Saccharomyces cerevisiae S288C: one gene and its partners. The gene in region 4 interacts genetically with the main gene of each other region. Each region holds a gene or a part of one and is shown on either strand. Other genes may lie near its edges. The genes, in order: MSC7, SSM4, CUE1 and ERG25.

Evidence for each region.
Region 1: mutations in ERG25 (region 4) and MSC7 together harm fitness more than expected from each alone (negative genetic interaction), as found in Saccharomyces cerevisiae (3 studies listed by BioGRID).
Region 2: mutations in ERG25 (region 4) and SSM4 together harm fitness more than expected from each alone (negative genetic interaction), as found in Saccharomyces cerevisiae (4 studies listed by BioGRID).
Region 3: mutations in ERG25 (region 4) and CUE1 together harm fitness more than expected from each alone (negative genetic interaction), as found in Saccharomyces cerevisiae (4 studies listed by BioGRID).

Annotation. Positions count from the first base shown.
Region 1 is NC_001140.6:184,309-188,328, reverse strand, and holds MSC7 (meiotic recombination directing protein), read left to right. Parts: upstream 1-1,519; coding exon 1,520-3,454; downstream 3,455-4,020. Other genes in the region: BCD1 (Bcd1p), read right to left, coding at 1-405; VMA10 (H(+)-transporting V1 sector ATPase subunit G), read left to right, coding at 650-652, 815-1,156; RRF1 (Rrf1p), read right to left, coding at 3,571-4,020.
Region 2 is NC_001141.2:295,550-301,615, forward strand, and holds SSM4 (E3 ubiquitin-protein ligase SSM4), read right to left. Parts: upstream 4,461-6,066; coding exon 501-4,460; downstream 1-500. Other genes in the region: SUMO protease ULP2, read left to right, coding at 1-188; EMA17 (Ema17p), read right to left, coding at 5,280-5,708. UniProt on the Saccharomyces cerevisiae protein: E3 ubiquitin-protein ligase which accepts ubiquitin specifically from endoplasmic reticulum-associated UBC6 and UBC7 E2 ligases, and transfers it to substrates promoting their degradation.
Region 3 is NC_001145.3:794,194-796,949, forward strand, and holds CUE1 (Cue1p), read left to right. Parts: upstream 1-1,611; coding exon 1,612-2,223; downstream 2,224-2,756. Other genes in the region: YMR262W (putative endodeoxyribonuclease), read left to right, coding at 1-474; SAP30 (Sap30p), read left to right, coding at 726-1,331; YMR265C (uncharacterized protein), read right to left, coding at 2,347-2,756. UniProt on the Saccharomyces cerevisiae protein: Component of the endoplasmic reticulum-associated protein degradation (ERAD) pathway.
Region 4 is NC_001139.9:608,628-612,052, forward strand, and holds ERG25 (methylsterol monooxygenase), read left to right. Parts: upstream 1-1,936; coding exon 1,937-2,866; downstream 2,867-3,425. Other genes in the region: septin SPR3, read left to right, coding at 1-474; ADE6 (phosphoribosylformylglycinamidine synthase), read right to left, coding at 3,262-3,425.

The DNA of each region.
Region 1 (4,020 bases), on a different chromosome or scaffold from region 4:
ACAGTTCACCCCCCTCCTAATTATCCTCTGACACTCCGTGCTATCACGATCATCCTCATCTATATCGTATCTTCTCTTCTTGAAATTAGAGTTGTGGCCGCCCACAGGCCCCAGAACCCGCTTGTTCTTCATTCTAGCATCCATCTTTTGTACATGCACCATTCGCTTCAACTGCGTCAGATAGTTGTAGTCCCTCTGGACATAAGCATTTCGTTCGTGCTTGTCGTCGTCCGCCTGTTTCAACGCCTCACTCGATATATACTCCTTAGGATCATGTGTTTGACCTGAGCAATTGTCCCTTGTCTTGTGCTTCTTGGAACACTCCAAAGAGCAAGTTTGCACCAAACATCTTGGACACTTGTATTTGAACTCTTTTATTCCGCATACACCACACAACACCGCCATACTTGCAAATTGCCACACCCTTCCCTATTAACTGGACTCCTATTCCAGCTCATCTCATCGAATATGAACTTTGACATCCACTATTATTACCGCGAATTTTTTTTTTTTTCAATTTGTTACCCTGCCTTGGGTATCAAAAATTTCATCTCTAAAAGGGAGCGTGATAGATAAAGCAATCACACCTTAAACAATACATTTTTTTTTTTCCTGCAATCTCCAAAGTGTGCAAGGTATACAAAGCAGAATGGTATGTGCCATTACATTACGTGTCAACACTTCTGTCTCTAACAAGCGTTCTTACTAACATGAAAAACTTTTTTAAAACTGTGCTCTCTTGTTGGACTGGTACCTCGTGACAAAGGTATTGGTTTTTTCATTGTTGCTCAGAACTATGTAATATTCTCTTTAGTCCCAAAAAAACGGAATTGCCACCCTACTACAAGCTGAAAAGGAAGCCCACGAAATAGTATCAAAGGCTAGAAAGTACAGACAAGATAAGTTGAAGCAAGCCAAGACTGATGCAGCCAAGGAAATCGACTCATACAAAATTCAAAAAGACAAGGAATTGAAGGAGTTTGAACAAAAGAATGCCGGTGGTGTTGGTGAATTGGAAAAGAAAGCAGAGGCTGGTGTGCAAGGTGAATTAGCTGAGATTAAGAAAATTGCAGAGAAGAAAAAGGATGACGTTGTCAAAATTTTGATCGAGACTGTCATCAAGCCTTCTGCTGAAGTCCATATCAATGCCTTGTAATATTGCATTACATTCTAGTTTTCTAATCATATATCTTTTTATAATATAATACCAATAGAATAAAAATGTATAAACTGACATTGCATTCGGTCTTTACGACTCTCGCTTTATCCATTCAGCCTTTTTTTTTTTTTTTTTTTTTTCTCTATCTGCTAAACGAGTAGTAGTATAATCAAAAATGTGTTATTTAGTATATCGGTTGTAAAGGAGAAAGTATGGTCTCTCTATTTTTATTTTATTAACGAAAAATACTAAACGCCGATGGGGATTACTATATAATTATAATAGTATTTGCAGAATAGTAGAATTCTTTTCACAGTTCACGTTCAGTTTCTCCTCTGTTTTATCGAACGTTTATTCATCATGTCCAAGGTCTATCTGAATTCAGACATGATTAACCATTTGAACTCCACAGTTCAAGCTTACTTTAACTTATGGTTGGAGAAGCAAAACGCAATAATGCGTTCTCAACCCCAAATTATTCAAGATAACCAAAAACTGATAGGCATTACAACGCTAGTTGCCTCAATTTTCACTCTGTATGTTTTGGTCAAGATAATCTCCACCCCAGCAAAGTGTTCCTCGTCCTATAAGCCAGTCAAATTCTCCCTTCCTGCACCAGAGGCCGCTCAAAATAATTGGAAGGGCAAGAGGTCTGTTTCCACTAACATATGGAATCCTGAAGAACCAAACTTTATTCAATGTCATTGTCCCGCCACAGGTCAATATCTAGGTTCTTTTCCATCGAAAACGGAAGCTGACATAGATGAAATGGTTTCTAAGGCAGGCAAAGCTCAATCTACTTGGGGCAATTCTGATTTCTCAAGAAGATTGAGAGTTTTGGCTTCTTTGCATGATTATATTCTAAATAATCAAGATCTTATTGCGAGAGTAGCGTGCAGGGATTCAGGAAAGACAATGTTAGACGCATCGATGGGTGAAATCTTGGTTACTTTAGAAAAAATTCAATGGACTATAAAGCACGGCCAAAGAGCGTTGCAACCTTCGAGACGTCCGGGCCCCACTAATTTTTTCATGAAGTGGTATAAAGGTGCAGAAATCCGTTATGAACCACTGGGTGTGATCAGTTCTATCGTTTCCTGGAACTATCCATTCCATAACTTATTGGGTCCAATTATTGCAGCATTGTTCACAGGGAATGCCATTGTAGTAAAATGTTCAGAACAAGTTGTCTGGTCTTCGGAATTTTTCGTCGAGCTGATCCGCAAATGTTTGGAAGCTTGTGATGAAGATCCAGATTTGGTTCAGTTGTGCTATTGTTTACCTCCAACTGAAAATGATGATTCCGCAAATTATTTCACCTCTCATCCTGGTTTCAAACATATCACTTTTATTGGCAGTCAGCCCGTAGCGCACTATATTCTAAAATGCGCTGCCAAATCATTGACACCCGTAGTTGTGGAGCTTGGTGGTAAGGATGCGTTTATTGTCCTAGACTCAGCTAAGAATTTAGATGCTTTATCTTCTATCATCATGAGGGGTACTTTCCAATCATCCGGTCAAAATTGTATTGGTATTGAGAGGGTTATTGTCAGTAAGGAAAATTATGATGATTTAGTCAAGATTTTGAATGACCGTATGACTGCAAATCCACTACGCCAAGGGTCTGATATTGATCATTTAGAAAATGTTGATATGGGGGCAATGATATCTGACAACAGATTCGATGAACTAGAAGCTTTGGTTAAAGATGCTGTTGCAAAGGGAGCTCGTTTACTTCAAGGTGGTTCCCGCTTCAAACATCCAAAGTATCCACAAGGTCATTATTTCCAACCAACTCTTTTGGTGGATGTCACTCCAGAAATGAAAATAGCACAAAACGAAGTGTTTGGCCCAATTTTAGTCATGATGAAAGCTAAGAATACTGACCATTGTGTACAACTAGCCAACTCTGCGCCATTTGGTCTAGGTGGTTCTGTGTTTGGTGCGGATATCAAGGAATGCAATTACGTCGCAAATAGCCTACAAACTGGTAATGTAGCCATTAATGATTTTGCTACATTCTATGTTTGTCAATTACCATTTGGTGGTATCAATGGTTCAGGTTACGGTAAATTTGGTGGTGAAGAAGGTCTTTTGGGTTTGTGCAATGCCAAAAGTGTCTGTTTTGATACTTTGCCTTTTGTCTCCACTCAAATTCCAAAACCATTAGACTACCCTATTCGTAACAATGCTAAGGCTTGGAATTTTGTAAAGAGTTTCATCGTAGGAGCTTATACAAATTCCACATGGCAAAGAATAAAGTCACTGTTCTCTTTAGCTAAAGAAGCCAGCTAGTTTACTTTAGAGGAAGCAACAAACTTATCAATAATTTGGTATTTATTATTATATAAAATGAACTTTTTATGTACAAGATTTATGATTTTTTGATTCTATACACGTTACGAAATTCCTCATTTTACAATGCTTTTTTCAACTTTCTGGAATTGGTCATGAAGCTTGTTCACGTAATCCTTATGCAGTTTTTCCAAATCCCTCTCAGCTTTTCGAACGGCATCATCCTTTTTGAAACTTTTGAATTCCTTTAGAATACTGCCTCTGATAGTTCCTAATGAGTCTTTTAGCGATGACTGCTTATATTCTTCAAATACTCTCTTTAAGTCTTTAGCTACTTTTAACCGGGATTCTGTAGTTGGTGGTGGTAACGAAACTTTCAATTGCAAATCGTTATTTGGGACCCTTTCAGGAGTTAAATTCAGGTTCGCAGCAAGCACCCCACTGATCACAGTTTTCACATCTTTGGGGTCGAAAACTGTTATTAAAAGTGCATTTTTACCTTTCAAGGATGTGGTAGCAATATCTGTAAACTTTCTGTTATTTTTGAACACTAAACTATTGAATAC
Region 2 (6,066 bases), on a different chromosome or scaffold from region 4:
AGTTGGTTGATATTGATGATGTGGCATTTAGTAGTCCAACTAGGGGTATTCCAAGAACCAGCGCGACAAGCAAGGGATCAAATGCACAACTTCTCTCTAATTATGGAGATGAAAATAACCAGTCTCAAGATTCTGTTTGGGATGAGGGCAGAGATAATCCTATACTCTTGGAAGATGAAGACCCTTGAAAGCACTCGCACGCATAGTTTTATATTTTTTATTCTTTTCCTCTTTATTTTTATTTTTTTAACATTCTCGCATAATAATAGTAACAGCAATAAAATAACTAGTAATATACATACTCACATAAATAGGCATATTTTTTATTTTGTTCTTTCGTATTCAGAATGGTAAATTTTTCTAATGAAATGTTTTACAAAAATTTTTTTTCTATAATTCTAACAATAAGAAATAAAACAGTGGAAAAACATATAACTTAATGTAGATATATATATGTAAATATGCTAGCATTCATTTTAAATGTAAGGAAGAAAACGCCTTTAACTTTCATCTGGTAAATTTTCTAAAGCTCTACCCTTAGTGTAAACCTCGTCTTTTACATTCTGTACAGTACTTTTGAACCATTGAATGAACAGCACAGTTGCTTGGAAAAAGAACGTAAATGACTCTAATGCTATCAGTAGTCCGAAATAAATATCTTGCATCCTTGTCCATGTTGGGAATGATTCGTTAAGCGATAAAGTGAAACTCCTGGATCCATGGCTAATATCGATAATCTGCTTTGTAGAAACATCACGTAAAAATACTAAGGATAAAATAATAATCGGCAAGACGTAAATTACCATGTGCAGGAAACCTTGTTTAAACAGTTCCAAAGCCATTGTTTTCAAGAAGTTCAATTTACTAGTATTTCTGTTTCTGAAAAATAGTTTCAATGACTTATATCCGGTTCCGAAATTGACCATTGACGAAATGATCCAAACGACGAATAACAAACTCTCGTCATATTTAAACCATTTGGAATTACCAATAGTGTATGAAGAATTGCCAAACACTCTGATGGTGAGATAATTGTAACAGGCTAGTATACCATCGGTTAAGACGACCCACGAAACCATAGTTCTAATAACCGCAATCATGATAGCTATAAACACCATCAGGTTATACTTCACCAACATACTATCAAATATACTGTTAAAGATGGCCATGAAAATTCCTTGACCCTCTTCCACATTATTGATATTATTAACAGGGGCATTGTTGATATCTCTCTCTGGTATATCGTGTTCCACTTCCTCTACTTCGTTTTCGTCAACGGCATGTTCATCGAGAGTGTTTTGGCCTTCTGTAAAATGAAGAATATCCTTAGCAATCTTGGATAAACAAACAGATCCGACACAGACATAATAAATGTTCAAATAGGAGTAGCTAATGTCAGAGAGTTCCTTCCATGCAACATAGACCTTATTTCTTTCACCTAACAATAGCTTTACGACTGGAAGAAAGCCGAAACTACAAACAAAGTTTATTAAAGCTTGACTAATAAATGTAACACCAAGCATTAAAATGGAAGCAAATAACCAAACCAGGCCAAGCAATGTCATATAGCGTAAACGGAAATCTGGAGGGACGTAAACGATATAATATTGATCATATTCCGTGTTTTGTTCGTCTAAATAACCAAATTCACCAGCAGCACGTTTGTTTCTCTCTTTAATTCTTTCCAAATCTAATGGTTTCAACAGCTTATCATCCTTTGTAACGGGGACAAACATTGTTTGTACATAATTTCTGGATACTATATCAGAAGAAGGAACACGCATTAAAACGCCATCGGGGACAAAATAAGCATGAACGTCACGAACTTGCCCAAACAATTCTTCTGCTTGTTCTAGAGTCTTTGGTTTAGTGAAAAGTTCTTGGTTTGACCATTCTGCATTCTTGGCAGCAATGTACTTGTAAAACAAATTGCGGTAAACAATATGGCCTCTCTCTGTTGGGGTATCTTTACCTAAGATAAAGGATGATAAACGTAATTTTCTTGAACATAACTTAAAAATTGTTTTCCAATACCTTTCCAATAAGGGTTTAACGTAAGAGCTAGACTCCAGGATCCTCTTCGTAAAATATAAAGTTAGCAAAATTGTATTGAACTTCCATGAAATAATTGATGTTGGTTTATAAGCTTCAGGAACGGATAATAAGTTCGATTTGAGCATGAATGGGAAAAAAATTCTAGTATGGAAGCCAAAACCTAAGACAATAAAAATCGCATAAATAAACATGGATAAGCAAAGCCTTGATAATTGAATACTCATCGGATGAATTAAACTATCATGCAAGATCTTAATATTAGGATCTTCTGGAGATCTGATAAAGAATAGAACACCTGGTCTAATGATATTTTTCCTAATCATTCCGATATATTTGGCAAACCAATACATGTAGAGAGTACCAATCGTCCAGTATACGAAAAGGGAAAATGGAGGCCATATTGCGCATATTGAAGGAACCCAAAGCATCCGACTATTGGATGCCAGGATTGGGCAAAATAATGAGAAATCTAGCATTACACCAGCTAGAATGGGGAATCCAGCCAATTCGATGAAAAATAAAGTGAACACCTTGAAAGTGCATTTGAGTGCAAATAAAATCTGGAAAATCAGCCTTCTAGTAGGGTTGCTCATTCCGTTCTCACGGCCATAACCCCTCGAGACAAGATTGGATGAAGCACAAACGATACTGACTGAGGTTAGATACGTCGTTAAAGCAGGTAAAGCTCTGATGAAAATTGAGTGCTTCATGGTGTTTTCAGTGTAGCCGTTGTAAAGATAAATGATGTCATGAATTAAGTGGTCTGAAATCCAACTCATCGCGACATCTACTTTAGGGACCAGTTTCGTCAGCCCATTGTAAGCTATATGAGCGCCAGACAAGTAGTAAAGATGGCACAACCCACGCAAAATAACCTTAAATATACCAAAATAAATTTTCAACAAACCGAACCCAATAAAAGTTGGAAACAAATAGGAAATTGCCAGGTATATTGCGGTGAAAACTACGGCAATTATGAAATAAGCAATGACATTCAACAATTTCAATTTGAGATTTATCACTAGAGGGCCTTGTCCTTGATCGTCTGGGTTAGCCTGTGCTGGTGGCACACCAACAGCTGCGCCAAAGTCTTGTTCGTCTTGATCGACATTTCCAGCTCTGTTTTGGGCAGGTGGTGGGATGAAAACCGGAGCGTTGGGCCTGTTTATTGCGTTCTGTTGAGCAGCGATTAGGTCATCAAATTCATTTTGCGCACGACGATTTGCCCACATGTCAATCGGATTGGGCTCTATATGATCACGGTAATCTGCCTCTTCTTCTGGTTGCTGCTGTTGCTGTTGCCCCTCTGCTTCTTCATCTTCTTCGTTGTCACTTGAAGACCCCGGTAAAATTCGTGACGAATCATCACCTGATGGTAAACTATTGTCAGAGTCGTTGTTCTCGTGCTCTTCCGTAGCCTCATCATGATCTAATTCGTCTACGTGGCGAAGGTTTTCAAAATTCCGATGGTCATTAGGATCCTGAGGTGGAACGTTATCGTTTCTGGGATTAATAACATTATTATTATTATCTGCTGCTGCGGCTGGCATGTTCAGTCTATCATGACCTTGCTCTTGACGATTTTCGTCATGAGCTCTCATTTCCCTCGCTAAATATTCAACCATTCTATCATCCATCATGGGGAATCTTTCCTTCAAACGTGATTTCAAGTCCTTGGGAGATAATCTTGGACCTATCTTGTGGAAAACCATTTTACTGAAAACATCCTCTCTTACTATCATATCGTATTGAAAGTACAATGCTATATGTAGTATCACTATCATAATAAATTGTAAAGACGTAAACGAATGGTTTTGTAAAAGTTGGTAAAAAATTGCTCTCGTGGTTAATTCTGGAGTTGCTGACTGATCATAACCATAAATCAAACTCTTTAGGAAATCACCAGGATAAGGGGATGATCCATCTAGCATCATGGTGTATAATTTTCCAAACATGTTCCATACCAAAGGAACACCGATAATATATAGTACAGCGGCCAAACCAATCGTTAAAGCCAAACGAGCTTTTTCGAAAAATGTCAAGATGCTCTTGGATAGTAGTAAAGAAAAAGGTATCTTTTCGGGCATGTTTTCCGCATATATCGTTTTGAATTGAATGGGATAGTGACAGATGTCACATTTAACATCCGCGCCTGGTTTTGAAATGTCTATATTTTTTGAAGCTACCCATTCCAACAGACAGGATTCATGCATGTATTTAATTGAGCCCCTGCATTTACAAGGATGGAAAAGAGGATTGTCCTCAGTAGCTTCTCCACGACAAATACGGCAGGTGGCGCCGGATGGCGCATCATCATTGAAAGTGGCGGTATCTGTTTCCTCGTTTGCCACCTTATGCAGTTCATCTCTTAACCTGGAGACATTAACGTCAGAATCAACATCCATGACTTTCACACTTCTAGTCTCTTTGATTCAATTAGTGGTACTCTTGGCTAAAAAAACAGTTTTTGAAATCAGTAACAAAGAACTATTCTTAACGTAATCTTATGGCTTCATAGATCGGTCATAATCATCTTTTCAATGTCCTCAATCGATGCGTTTTCAACCAGTTTTCCGTCTCTAATGATTTAATTTTTCTATTGAATTGAAAATGGTAAAAAGATAGCCCTGTAGGGGGCTCGAACCCCTAACCTTATGATTAAGAGTCATACGCGCTACCGATTGCGCCAACAAGGCTATTTCGTTGGAAAAACTACTTATTTTAGGAAGTAATAGCACATTTAAGATGCTTGTTGGAATGAAACTTTAAAATATCATCTGTTTAGTACTATTCATGTTACTAATTAAGATATGGGTGAATTTTGAGATAATTGTTGGGGGTTCCATTGTTGATAAAGGCTTATAATATTATGTATACGGAATATACTAGAAGTTCTCCTCGAGGATCTAGGAATCCTCATAATGGAATCTATATTTCTATATACTAATATTACGATTATTCCTCATTCCGTTTTATATGTTTCATTCTCCTATTACATTATCAATTTTTGTATTTCAGCTTCCTCTAACCTCGATGACAGCTTCTCATAATTTACGCCATCCTCTTACACCGCATGTGATGCTATTACTACTAAATAGATAACATTAGAATTTCATTCCAACAGCTTTAGTCTGTTTTAATAAACGCAACAGCACCATAATGTTATTAATTTTAATAAAGCCAAATTATGGCCTGCTGATTTCTTTTCATTGGTAAAAGTTCTATCACCCGTTCCCCATTAGTATGATAACCGATAAATAAACTCTATTACCTGGTTTCTTCGTTCCAGGAACGTTTATACCCTGACTACACATTTCTTTTGAAAAATAGGCCAATTGAACAATTAAGTTAGAAGCGGTTAGAAAAAGGTATAATAGGAAAAAATGCATCCAATTTTTACAGTTGAACCACTTGGGGGATTTTATTCTCGTATTGTAGCGGGAGCATTTTATCTTCGTACATCTTGGAAGCTGTAGATTAATCTTATTCCTATATGCTCCTTCAATCCACACAGCAAACCCCCAAATGGAAACGATCACTGAGTATGTTATAAACCAGCTTACGCTTATACTATTATCAAAATTCAAAAGATTGAACGGGGAAAATGGTAGAAATGAATATTGAAGCATTTTCGCAATGAAAATTAACCGCATTGTTTTTATAGTAATTCTGATGGCTAACGGCGGTAATACAGCATCCTTACGAAGAGCGGGAATAGTTCATTTGCCCTCTTTGATGGTTTGCATAACTGCGTTGTTGATTGTCTTAGGAATGGAAATATTTAACAAATATACCTATAATGAAAAAAGGGTCCTTCTTTTTAATTATTATTGGCAGCGAAAAAGTTGTCCCAGCTTCTACTTTTTTTCCCGTTAAAAAAGGAAGCGGCGGAAGCTGATCTACTCTCTAATAATAGACTACTCACTCGCATCTTGGTAACGAGTCCCTTTAAGATCTTGGTACATAAAGTTTGCTGCAGCAAAAAGGGCTTATTTGCGCATTCATGATATT
Region 3 (2,756 bases), on a different chromosome or scaffold from region 4:
TCGCATCAAGAAACAGTATTCAGGCGATTTTGCCGACTGGCAAGGCACACAAGCAAGCCCATCTCTATACACGATGTAAAGTGCCACGGGAAACTAAACGATATCTGCAATGAAGAGCTCTTGACGTATCACTCTGTCAAGATATGTTTACATTCGTACACAGGCTCCAAGGAAACGCTTCTGGGCCAATGGCTCAAGAAGTTTCCCCCGGATCGTATTTTTGTGAGCCTATCCAAATGGATTAATTTTAAGGACCCAGAAGAGGGAGATGCCCTGGTCAGGAGCTTGCCCTCAACTTGCATACTTACTGAAACCGACTATCCTATTGACAATCCAGATCCGTCATACCAAAAGGCCCTTACAGAGCAGCTGCAGTATTTGAATGCACAAATCGCACGAGCATGGGACGAGACACTGGATGCCTCACAAGCCGCTTTGCGTGTATACGAAAACTTTCAGAAATTTATCAAGTGAAACGCTTTTGAGGTGGCAGCATAGCACTGTAATGAGATATATTAAGTAGGCTTGCTGTATACCATTTCTTGCTATGCATGTGTTTTAGCAAGGCAACGCCGTTCCGGAAGGGAAAAAGCGCTCTTTTTTATATACTGTGAAATTTTCAGATTTTAACTTAGAAATTATATAAAAGCGGTTGTGTATCTATTGTGATAATGCAATTCCTTTATAGTTTAGCAAATCGAAGGATAGGTATATACTGAGTAGTAATGGCTAGGCCAGTTAATACAAACGCTGAAACGGAATCGAGAGGCAGACCCACTCAGGGTGGTGGTTACGCAAGTAACAACAATGGCAGCTGTAACAACAACAATGGCAGCAATAATAACAATAATAACAATAATAATAATAATAATAACAGCAATAACAGCAATAACAATAACGGGCCTACCTCCAGCGGGAGAACCAATGGGAAGCAAAGACTCACAGCTGCACAACAGCAGTACATTAAGAATCTCATAGAGACACATATCACCGACAACCACCCTGATCTGCGCCCCAAGAGTCACCCAATGGATTTCGAAGAGTATACGGATGCGTTCCTGAGAAGGTATAAAGACCACTTTCAATTGGACGTACCGGACAACCTGACGCTGCAGGGATACTTATTGGGTTCCAAATTGGGCGCGAAGACTTATTCATACAAGAGGAACACACAGGGGCAGCACGATAAAAGGATACATAAGAGAGACCTGGCCAACGTGGTGAGAAGGCATTTCGATGAGCATTCCATTAAAGAGACAGATTGCATACCGCAATTTATATACAAGGTAAAAAACCAGAAGAAGAAATTCAAGATGGAATTTCGGGGTTGATCAAACGATGAGGCAGCCCTTTTGTGTATAAGTTATGTAAACTTTTAAGGTGGTAATTGTTAAAATGGACAGTAACACTTGTTTATTTGCTAGTATTCCATTTAGTTTAATGCCTTTTTGTATACGGTGCGGGTAGCTGTCGCGCCATTTTAAACGATCTAATATAACTGAGGTGGGCCTGTCATTGATGCATTGAATAGACAACTCATCAACCTATTTCTTATAAAAGGCGCCATAAAGCATTACAATCTACGATCGCGCAAACTTTTTTCTTTTGGCCATGGAGGATTCGAGATTGCTTATCACTTTGATTCTTGTGTTTGGAGTTATATTTCTGAAAAAATTCTTCCAAAGTAATCAGCATCCCTCAGCACAACGCTTATCCGCTACAGGTGTAAACGCACACGGACGTCCTCAGGGCTCCACGCAGAATGCCTTGAGAAGGACTGGTAGAGTCAATGGAGGTCACCCCGTGACTACTCAGATGGTGGAAACAGTGCAAAATCTAGCCCCTAACTTACATCCTGAGCAAATTAGGTATAGTTTGGAAAACACAGGCTCAGTCGAGGAAACAGTGGAAAGGTACTTGCGTGGTGATGAATTCAGCTTTCCACCTGGGTTTGAGCCCTCCAGGGCGCCAATGGGGGCCAATGCGGCTGTTGATAATAACGCTGCTGGTGGCGGAGAGTTTAACGATCCCAGAAAGAAGAACATGATTTGCGCTGAGAATCTACTCGATAAATTCCATGTGGATCTCAATGAAGATATGAGTAACTTAAGCTTTAAGGACTTAGACATTGAAGAGAGAAAGAGATTGTTGGTTTGGCAAGCCAGAAAGAATTTGGAGACAAAATTGCAAAGTGATAAAGATTTGCAAAGTTTGCTGACTTGAACGCTTAAGTGCTTGTCGGGAACACGCAAGTGTGCCCATAATGCGCATAAGTATATCTTTGTGTTTACTTATTTAAAATGACTAAATAAATAACCCAAAAAAAGGAAGAAAAAAATGTAATTATTAAGCATTGGAACACGGTATTGCTGCCAACTTGGCAAATCGCCCGAAAAATGCCTTTATTGGTATTGTATTGTCTAACGGAACCCAGTGAATATCTTCCTTGCAGTTTATTAGACGCTCTGTTACCACTTCTAAATCTTCAATTCGGTCTCTTTTGTAAAAATGACCAGTGACTATATATTCTGGAAAGAGAGTGAAAGTGTATCTGTTTGGTTCGGGTGTGGCTTTGAAATAAACCTCCAATGGCTTTCTTCTGTTGTGGTGGGCCGACGCGATGACGGCAAGGTCTGTGACTTGGAAGTGTACGATGCACTTCCCAGGCTGTTCCAGATAAAAAATTTGTGAAATATGCTGTACTTTCTTCTCAGAATCAAACGTGCGAGTGTCATTGTTTGACCATACCTTAGCGA
Region 4 (3,425 bases):
GAAAAATGCAGATCTGAAATGCTAAGAACTAGGCTATTAAAGGCCAGAGATTGCTTAACAACGAAAAGTGTTGACATAACGGAAGAACAAAGGAAATTTTTGGAGGAAGAAATGAACTTCGATGAAATCGAGGAAAACAAACTCAAAAATTACAAGTGCTATGAAATAATTAATAAAACGGTCATGGATAAGGTGGCTACAGAATGGGATCCTGAATTTATAACTAGACAATTAGAAGCTAAGAAAAAATTCAACGAGCTGTCCAACAGAGAAATTTCAAAATTTCGAGACTGGAAAAAGAGCCTATTCATGGAACAAGAGAATTTTAACCAAGAGATTGAACAATTGAATCACAAGTTGGAAAACTTACAACTGGAATGTCAGGACTTGGAATACAAGCTGTTAATCGGAAAAAGTTCCAACAGCCATTCCACAGATAGTGCTACTTTAGTAAACGTTCACATCAAAAGGTAGTATTAATTAAAAAAAAAAAAAAGCCAATAATTTCGCGCAAGCTTTGCTCTACATAATAAAAATACAATTAGGATAGAAATGAATATTTTTTTAGCGGCAGTTTTACCATAAGTAGCAAAACCCTAACAATACAATGTGAGACTAAAGTAAATCCGGGTAATACAAAATACAATTTTTTTTTATTCTTCACAGCGTTTTTTCGACGGAGGAGGGAAAAAAAAAAATTGTATTTAAGGCATCAAATGCGCGACATCATATACCTTTGTCCGCTGTTATCATACCTTGAACCTCTACATTTCAGCCTAGCGCGCGCAAAAAGAAAAAAAAATCATAAGCAAGAGTGGTACGGTAACCACAAGGCAATGCAAAGAAGGGTGCGATATCAAGTGATGTTACCTTCCTTTACTTTTTGCCTTTTTCTTGAATTGTCAATCCGCCCTTTTTTTCTTTTCAGTTTTTTCTCCTTTCATCCGTCTCGTTTATCATAATGATGATTTCACTTATACCTATATGTTTTTTCTGGCATCTCTAATGTTAGGATGTGAAGTTTAAGTACTCTCCATTCAATGAATACAATTTTTGACAATATCTGATTTTACTATGATTAAACAGACCGAGGGAGAAAAAAAAAAGGAACTAAAAAAGGGCCTACGTAGAAGATGATGTAAAAGTAGATTCGCATCTGAGAATGTTTTCTTCAAATTTTTCTTTTCGGCCTTGGCGCAGAAGACTTTCTCTTCGTCCGCGTCGTATAGGAAACAAAAAAGTGTAAAAAGTAAAAATCGGTATATTACGCAATCCATTCGTTACCCGGTGTAGTCACGTGCGGGTGCGGAGGGCAGCCGTTTAAACCCGTTTGGGCCTTGGTCCGATAGAACCATCTCGCAGGAAAGAGCAGAGCCAGTTATCGGGTGTCGTTTACGCCCAGATGTCGTTTAGCCAGCTCCGCAACGGCCACTGCCACTACCACTGCCTCCCTTCGTATACGGGACACAGAGATCGTATACGGTAAACGACTAGCACTAGGACAATAGCAACTAACAATGACCGATAACAGTCAGCAACCTCAAGGCACCTGGCACAAAACCGTCGAGGAAGAGGCCCTTTGCCACCGTATCGCATCGCTTTCCCACCAATTTTTTTTTTCTTGCTTGCCTCGCCTCTGCTGTGGTCGTATTATTATTATTCATTCTCTGCGCAGTTTAAACTATATACACACGATTAATCCGTTATGCATGTACATTTTCTTGTATGCGTACGCCTGTGTATGCATACTTCTATATAATATATAATACAGGAGGATCTATTCTTTTTTTTCTTCTTCTCTTCTTCTCTCCCTTTTTTCTCTCTCTTCGTTTCTTTCCTTCCAGTAAATCTTTATATTAGTTGTAACTTTTTCTCTTTAGATAGTAGCATAGAGGACTAAGGAAAAGTAGTACAGCCATAAAAAAAAGAGGAAAAGATGTCTGCCGTTTTCAACAACGCTACCCTTTCAGGTCTAGTCCAAGCAAGCACCTACTCACAAACTTTGCAAAATGTCGCCCATTACCAACCTCAATTGAATTTCATGGAGAAATACTGGGCCGCATGGTACAGTTACATGAACAATGATGTTTTGGCCACCGGTCTAATGTTCTTTTTATTGCATGAATTTATGTATTTCTTTAGATGTTTGCCATGGTTCATCATCGACCAAATTCCATACTTTAGAAGATGGAAGTTACAACCAACTAAGATTCCAAGTGCTAAGGAACAACTATACTGTTTGAAATCCGTTCTTCTATCTCATTTCTTGGTCGAGGCCATCCCTATCTGGACCTTCCACCCAATGTGTGAAAAATTAGGTATTACTGTCGAAGTTCCATTCCCATCTTTGAAAACAATGGCTCTAGAAATTGGTCTATTCTTCGTCTTGGAAGATACATGGCATTACTGGGCTCACCGTCTATTCCACTACGGTGTCTTCTACAAGTACATTCACAAGCAACATCACAGATACGCTGCTCCATTCGGTCTTTCTGCTGAATATGCTCATCCTGCTGAAACTTTGTCTTTGGGTTTTGGTACCGTTGGTATGCCAATTCTTTACGTCATGTACACTGGTAAATTACACTTGTTCACTCTATGTGTATGGATCACCCTAAGATTATTCCAAGCTGTTGACTCTCATTCTGGTTATGACTTCCCATGGTCTTTGAACAAGATCATGCCATTCTGGGCTGGCGCTGAACACCACGATTTGCATCATCACTACTTTATTGGTAACTACGCTTCCTCTTTCAGATGGTGGGATTACTGTCTAGACACTGAATCTGGTCCAGAAGCTAAGGCCTCCAGAGAAGAAAGAATGAAGAAGAGAGCTGAAAACAATGCTCAAAAGAAGACTAACTAAGAGAAGAAACATACTTCAAAAAAAAAAAAAAGAAAAACAACAAAAAAACGTATAAAATGAAATAAATTTCGAACCGCTTTTTTTCCTTTTTTTTTTTTTTACTTTGTTTGACCTCCCCTAACTCTTTCTTTTTACCTTCACAATTGTTTATTTTAATATATGATTTTTAAATTAATTCAGGTTAATTCTAAAAACTATATTGCAATCTTTTAAATATATGTATACACGTTCATTACCACGTATACATATCCATATATATATATATATATATACATACTATTTATGATAAATTTTTAACAAGCAAACCCATTATTAAATGCTATAAATAAAAGACAGCTTCTTTCTAATTATTATTCAAACTTAAAAACTACATATACAAAAACTACAAAAATCTTTCAACCGACCCATCTTCTGGCAGATCTGAATAATCTAATCCATGGACCGTATCCACCCCACTCTTCGTATTTGCCCTCTGGATACCAGGAATTGGCCTCCAATCTGCAAACTCTTTCAGGATGTGGCATCATGGCAAGCACTCTACCATTTGGTGACTTGATAC